Xenopus tropicalis: one gene and its partner. The protein of the gene in region 1 binds, or shares a complex with, the protein of each later gene. Links are inferred from orthologs where the notes say so. Each region holds a gene or a part of one and is shown on either strand. Other genes may lie near its edges.

Region 1 (3,834 bases):
ATGGGCACACCACTACTGGAATAATGAATAATACATTACAAAGAACTAATCTTGCCAGTTTTAAAAAGGTGTGCATATTTCTCAGTCAGACTATCGCCAAAATTATGCCATGTTTTTAAACCACCTTAGACCTGGGACAACCCATTGAAATTAATAGGACTAACTAAAAAGGTTGTGTAAAAGATGTCATCTTTATAAATACGCCCCTTACTATTGAATGCTCTAATTAAATATTTATGTGCAAAATGACAGAGACACCTATTTTTAGCAGGAGAGGTGCACCTTCCCATCTGTAATGCTTTAATCCCCTATTTTTTAACTTAAAGTAGCCAATAATAGATCTATTTCTGTGCCTTTCCACATTTAATTTAAATAAATACCACTGTACTTATCATATTACAATAAGTCATTCTTAAAATAGGACCAAATACGTTCTCATGCTGTTTATGGTGCGTTTCAATGATCTCCTTTAATAGTGTACTTTCTTCCTATAAAACTAATTTTAATGAGGTGCATAATGAATTATAAACCAGTTGTTGGGTCGTGAAGCGGATTCCCAGCCTTAATCAGGGTCCCCAGAGAAAAAGATTGAGGATCTGCTATAGAAGAATCCTTTGCCAGTTTGCCAGGAAATAATCGCAGTACAGTATTAGCTCATCACTTTCACAGGTTTGCAAGGAAAGCCCAAACCACTGGCCCGTAATAGATATATAACCATCAAATTGATCTGGAAGCTGTCTGCCCCGAAGCAGCAAATGACTTGCTGCTGTCTAAATGCAAAAGACCATATTTTGTTCCTTGTACAAACAAATGAATATTATTGTTACACAGATCATGACAGCAGAAGGCCTCTAACTTGAAAGTCCAATATTACTCTAACCATACACAAGTTTACCTTAACACTTATTGTCTATGTGTAGTCCTGGTGTTAGCTTAGATTCTGTACCCTCAAATTTATACTTTACTAATTTATAAGTATCCCATCACCCAAGGATACTTCACATATGCACATAAAAGGATTTGATCCATCCTTTTGGCCCTCATGCTGTCCTGTAGGATGTAAGGCAAAAAGAAGGGAGAAACATTGCAAATAAACCACTTGTTCACAATGGCCCTTTTTAGAGTGAGTAACTTGGTATGCAAATTTTTAAAACATAGACATTACTGTAACAGAAATGAAAACATGTGACTTTCGAAAACCTTATTACGCGTGTAAACTACAGTTCGACAGGTTGCACGTGGGAATTCTCATAGTAAACACCAATGACTTCCAGTCACTTAACATTCTCTACAGTTAGCACATTGTGTTTTGATGAAGGACATGGATAACCGAGGTTGTTTACAGCATAGTATATCAGTTATGTAGCCAACACTATTCAAGAATTATATAAAACATAATATTATTGGAAGTCATGAAATGATTGCCGTTTCTTTAAACATGTTGCTGGACTGCAACTTCCAGCATACACCAGCATCATACTTCAACATATAATCTGCATTGTTTTTTCCACACATCATGAAGGCATAGTTTGATGAAATTTTCAGTTTGAACACACACACAGCACAGTCAAAAGTTCACCACAAGGTGCTATATACACAGTTAGGCAGGAAGTTTAAAACAGCCAAACTGCCTGACCAAATGCAGGCAAGTATGGCTACATCTAGGCAAGTTTGATGACTGCATGTTGTCAGTCCAGTTGCTAGGTGTCTAAATACATGGCATCAATACTACAATAGATATAAAAAATAATCCTGCTACAGCAATGGAGCCCGGTAGATTTTGAACTGGTGACCAGAAAACTTCAAAATCACTGTCCTGCTTACAAAGAATTCCATTATATCATAAAGTATTCAGATTAATAAATGTGACTCGATGGGTAGGTGCAATCCTTTTAATTATAACTCTAAGTACGGTTGTGTGTGTGTGTTGTAATTCTCCATGACAGCATTTTGCAGTGCAGCTGAGAAAGCAGTGTGTTGGGACAATTTTTGTAGAAGTAACCCTTTGGCTAATGCCAGATGAGGCGCAGGGCGGATAAACTCCGAAAATTCTGCCCTATGCCTCCTACTTGTGCCTGCACCAGAATGAATGGAATACACTCTGGTGCAGGCACATGTAGCCGGAATATGCAAAAAAAAAAAAAAAAAAAAAAAAAAAGAGACTTTCAAACTTTCAAACGAGACTTTCAAACTGTCGCGTTTTTATGCGTATTTTGGCTACATGTGCCTGCACCCAGGCGTATTCCATTAATTCGGGTGCAGACACATGTAGGAGGCGTAGGGCGGTGTTTTTGGCAACTTTTTTTCCGCTTGCCGAAAATATCCACCCTACGCCTCGTCTGGCATTAGCCTTACATGGATTATGCCTGAGCTGCTCTGGCCTACAAATTTCTAAATAACCAGGTTAATGCATGCTCTGGCTACACATACATAATGTCAAATGCATTGATAAAGCAGTTAAAGACGATAATCATGGAATAATAATTAGTATTTTGAGTTAATGGTATGGCTACTTAAATTCCTATGAACTTGGTTTAGAAAATGCACTTAATAGCAAGAAAGAACATTAATCTGCACATATATCACAGTTTGTTGTAAAGCTATTTAAGTTTGATTTTAGTGAAACAAAGAAAATAAGCTGTAGCTCAGCAATCAATGTTTGTGAAATGGCTTGAAAGTCTGGGGTTGATTTTGTTATTAATCTGCCTATTATGCTGGACATCCTAGTCAATATCTAATAATATATAATGAAAATCAAAATTTTTAAAAGGAAAACAACATTCCAAAAATACTATGAACTTGCTGCAAAACACAAATTACAACCAGAGCAGTTCTTTCGACTGCTTAGCCTCAGGGCTGGCAGGCCCCACCCAATTGCCCATGGTCTCCATTTTTTGTAAACCATCTACATTTGAATACATTTCAGCCTCTGCATGTGTGGACCAGTCTGAGAAAACAACTGCACAGTACTGCTTTAGATCATGCTATTTCCTAAACTGCCTATAAAAAATACATACGCTATCCTGTTACTATGTGGCTAATCATTACCTGAGTTCTGTTGAAAGCCACTCGTGCAAATACTGCTTGCGAGATTCCTGCTCGTTTTAATTCATCACGTACCCACTGGTAGATATCGGAAGACACTTCTGTGTTGGGCGAAACCTGTTGCTCTAAAGGCTTGTTGATTGATCTACTGACAGGAGGAGGATGGTTCAAGTACTGTTGGTTTAAGGACTGTTGTGCGAGTAGTCTGTTTACAGCATATTGCTGGTTCAGTAACTGAGCCATTACCAGCTGCTGATTTACTAACTGAGGGCTGATGGGAGTAGAAACAAGTCCTGGATGCAAATTGGGAAGTGGTGTCCTCGCAGGTGGTTGACTACTGTGAGAAATCTGAACCGGGGATGAAGGGTTTTCTGGAGTACCAACAGAACCAGGCTGCTGACCATAGTTTACATGATTGCTACTTTGTTGAGAGCGTTCTGATAATTCTTCAATATCCACTATAGAAGTAGAAAAAAAAAAGTTATGTTTTAATAAATACAAAAATTTTTTTAAAAAAAGAAGATTCCAATGAAATAAATAACTGTTTTTTATAGATATTAGCAATACAAAGTGCTGTGTTAATGTTAATTAATTTTCAATTATCTTAAAAGTACATTGAATAATTCCTGTTTAAAAAAGAAGGGGTACATGGAAAAACACAAAACTGATCCCAAAGCTACTGGGTAATTATTATCCAGCCAGACTACTGCAATGCTGCTTTAGACATGATAAACAAATTATGCAGGATTTTATTAGACACAAAATTTGACTTAATTTTGGCATCTGGCA
Region 2 (4,415 bases), on another chromosome or scaffold:
TGGAACATACAGAGGTACCTGGCATTCAGCCCCTGCCTGAGCAAAGATGAAGCAAATCTAATCCCCATAATATTTATGGAAAGGGAAAGCATGTGTTTACACGGTATACAATAGCTTCCAGGCGGTACAAAGAGCTGGCAGCCATGTTCCTGGGAGCTACAAATGCAGAGCATTGCGGGGGCAGGGAGAGAAATCTGCCACAAAGGCTTCTATTGCTTTTAGTGATAGGAATGTATTATCCAAATGTATCACCGAAATGTATCAATATAAAGGCACCGCAATTTTATCTGAATAAGGTTCTTGTATTCTCCTGATAACCCACACTTACTACATATCTATCTATCATCTATTTATCTATCTATCTATCTATATCTATCCATATCTATCTATCATCTATTTATCTATCTATCTATCTATATCTATCCATATCTATCTATCATCTATTTATCTATCTATCTATATCTATCCATATCTATCTATCATCTATCTATCTATCTATCTACCTATCTATATCTATCCATATCTATATATCATCTATCTATCTATCTATCTATCTATATCTATCCATATTTATATATCATCTATCTATCTATGTATCTACCTATCTATATCTATCCATATCCATATATCATCTATCTATCTATCTATCTATCTATCTATCTATATCTATCCATATCTATATATCATCTATCTATCTATCTATCTATCTATCTATCTATCTACCTATCTATCTATCTACCTATCTATATCTATCCATATCTATATATCATCTATCTATCTATCTATCATCTATCTATCTATCTATCTATCTATCTATCTATCTATCTATCTATCTATCTATCATCATCTATTTATCTATCTATCTACCTATCTGTATCTATCCTTTTTCTAAACCCCTCTCTCTATTTATTTTTGCCAAGGAATACTATAGGAATACTATAAGGCTGCCCTATTAGAAATAGTCGGTGTGTGCCTTTATACGCCTGTTTACGCCTGTTTAATCCCCGAATGTTAAGCGTTCCTTACCTCGCCAATTTATCTGAACTTGCTCCAAACGATAAATAAGACATTATTTCTCCATGGGCCGTGGGGCAGGATTTCTCTAGCAGTTCTGGCTCCGGAGGGGACAATAACAAAGCCACCAAATGATGTTTCTTGTCTCAGATCTACAATGCAGAAAAGTTAGAGAATATGAAGAGATCCAACAAGGGGGATGTGTGGCACAAAGAGGCGCATCTCTAGGAGGTAAAGTCCATCTATTCCTTGGTTTGTCAGTACTCCAGCCCTACTAGAGCTTTGCACAATAGTCACTGATTTACACCCACCACCCACACACATTTTTTTCTTTAAATGAACACAAAGTTTCCCTGCCGCCATGAAGTGCTCGGGAGAGTCTCTCATTCCCAGTCCACATGCTGCAATGAGACTGAGCTCTTGCTTTTTTTTTTTTCCTCTCTCGTTTTGCTGCTGTAATATTTTTTTCTTTTGTGTGTGCTGAGATTTTCTCGGTTTCTTTCCCATGTCGGTTGCAATAATGGGTGAAATTCCTTTCTGACACTACCTTTCCACTTGTGAGATTGATCACTCTCCTTGTGCAGCCGGGTAGGGTTCCCAGAGATCCTCAGCGGCCTCTCCAGCAGGATTTATTCCTGAGAAGCAGTAAGTGTCCCTCACTTGTGCTGGAAAATAACCCGGGTCAGGGGCCACTCAGCCCTTCCTGAAATAACCCTGAATGCTACCCAGCTTGGCCCCTAGCAACGCCTGGCTACTGACAGATAACCTTCCGCATTTCCCTGTTTGCGCTAAACTCGCTGGCTATCAGATAACCATGTTTACACAGAAAAGGCTACATTCCATATTGCTAATGGAGAAATGTGCCATTTTCCAACCCTTCCCAAACAGGAATTAATCCCTGTGTTCTCTGCTTACAGTGGTTATACCCACATTTAGTTTTACCCGCATTAATCATCGAGCAGTTTGCATCACTCCCCCCCCCCCAAACACACTCACATACATTTATAGGATTTAATTCACAGTTATAATGCTTTCTATTTCCAGCAGGCCTACGCTCCCCATTGGTCAGCCCTGGTCATGTGACCAGGAATTGGCTGCAAGTCGCCCAGTGTTCAGTTTATTACAGGAGGGTCCCCATACGCCTGATTTATCAGCAATATACAATAATAGGGCCTGTGGATTACGGGGACCCTAAATTTGGCTCTCCCAGCCCGGCCTGGCTCAGGGCAGCCATGAATTTGGAATTTGAGAGGGAGATCGGGTTTATAAACAGCCAGCCTTCGCTCGCAGAGTGCCTGACGTCCTTCCCTGCTGTCCTGGAGACATTTCAAACTTCATCAATCAAGGACTCGACATTAATTCCTCCTCCTTTTGAGCAAACCATCCCCAGCCTGAATCCTGGCTCCGACAGCCAGATCCGGCCCAAAAGCCAAAAACGAGCAGAGAATGGCCTGCTCCAGCAGCCCCAGGTCCAGCCTGGCCATTTGGCTACCGAATTCCCCTGGATGAAAGAGAAGAAATCGGCAAAGAAGAGCAGCCAAGGGTCCCCCCAGGCCCTTATTCCCCCTCCTGAGTCTGCAGGGGGGTCTCCTGCAGGTCGGTATTCTAGGGGATTCATTGTATATAGCAAGTGGGATATATTGTACAGAGAAAGTGGATATATTGTATATAGCAAGTGGGATACATTCTATAGAGAAAGTGGATACATTGGATATAGAAAGTGGGAAATATTGTATATAGCAAATGGGATATATTGTATATAGCAAATGGGATATATTGTATATAGCAAGTGGGATATATTGTACAGAGAAAGTGGGATACATTGTATATAGCAAATGGGATATATTGTATATAGCAAATGGGATATATTGTATATAGCAAGTGGGATATATTGTACAGAGAAAGTGGATATATTGTATATAGCAAGTGGGATACATTCTATAGAGAAAGTGGATACATTCTATAGAGAAAGTGGGATACATTGTATATAGAAAGTGGGATACATTGTATAGAGAAAGTGGGATACATTGTATAGAGAAAGTGGGATACATTGTATAGAGAAAGTGGGATACATTGGATATAGAAAGTAAGGGGCACAGTGGGCCTATATTGTTACTATTTTGTAACGAATGTAACACACCAAGTGATATATCTAGAAATGATATCTTTACTGGGAACATTTTCTCCAATCATGGCATTGTATGTAACCATATCATCTTATTTATGGGCAACCCACACTCTTGGGGGGATCCTGTAAGTGGTAATGTATTTAACTGGAGTGGTAATTAGATTATAGATAGATAGATGCATAGATAGATAGATTGATAGATGATAGATAGATAGATAGATAGATAGATAGATGATAGATAGATAGATAGATAGATAGATAGATAGATAGATAGATAGATAGATGTTTGTTTGAGATTAATATAGGGTCAGAAAAACTAGATAGATGATGGGCAACCACACTCTTGGGGGGATCCTGTAAGTGGTAATGTATTTAACTGGAGTGGTAATTAGATTATAGATAGATAGATGCATAGATAGATAGATTGATAGATGATAGATAGATAGATAGATAGATAGACAGATAGATGATAGATAGATAGGTAGATAGATAGATGATAGATAGATGATAGATAGATAGATAGATAGATAGATAGATAGATAGATAGATAGATAGATAGATAGATAGATATGTTTGTTTGAGATTAATATAGGGTCAGAAAAACTAGATAGATGATGGGCAACCACACTCTTGGGGGGATCCTGTAAGTGGTAATGTATTTAACTGCAGTGGTAATGCATAGATAGATAAATAGATAGATGTATAGATAGATAGATAGATAGATAGATAGATAGATAGATAGATAGATGATATAGAAATGGCTGGGCCATAACAGTGACGATAGAAACCTGATCCATCTTTAGTTTGTAGCCAGCACAGTCTGAGGAATGTTAACTCTCCAGCTGCCAGAAGAAATCCACTGGCCACATGGCAGTAGTAGAGTTAACTCCCTAAGAGAGGTGCTCGGTGGGACAGATGGTGGGACAAATGGTGGGTTCTAGATAAAGGAACCCTGTTTTATCCCCACAGAACCCCCTGGGCTGCACGATGCCGGCGGCGGATCCAGAAGACTGCGCACCGCATACACCAACACCCAACTCCTGGAGCTGGAGAAAGAATTTCACTTTAATAAATACTTGTGCCGACCCAGGAGGGTGGAGATAGCGGCTCTGCTGGATCTGACTGAGAGACAGGTCAAGGTTTGGTTCCAGAACCGGAGGATGAAGCACAAGAGACAAACCCAGCACAAGGACTCGCAGGACGGGGAGCACAGTTACTCGAACCCCGAAGATGGCGAACCCCTGGACGATGGAGACGATAGTCCGGTCTATCA

What was found.
Region 2: satb1 (region 1) and hoxb2 share a complex: the UniProt entries of both Homo sapiens proteins name them as parts of the nuclear protein complex. The link is inferred for Xenopus tropicalis from reciprocal best matches to the Homo sapiens genes SATB1 and HOXB2.

The regions. Positions count from the first base shown.
Region 1 is NC_030682.2:45,053,036-45,056,869, forward strand, and holds part of satb1 (DNA-binding protein SATB1), read right to left. Parts: intron 3,504-3,834; coding exon 3,049-3,503; intron 1-3,048. UniProt on the Homo sapiens protein: Crucial silencing factor contributing to the initiation of X inactivation mediated by Xist RNA that occurs during embryogenesis and in lymphoma.
Region 2 is NC_030686.2:12,017,010-12,021,424, reverse strand, and holds the start of hoxb2 (homeobox protein Hox-B2), read left to right. Parts: upstream 1-1,475; 5' UTR 1,476-1,659; intron 1,660-2,058; 5' UTR 2,059-2,246; coding exon 2,247-2,610; intron 2,611-4,111; coding exon 4,112-4,415. UniProt on the Homo sapiens protein: Sequence-specific transcription factor which is part of a developmental regulatory system that provides cells with specific positional identities on the anterior-posterior axis.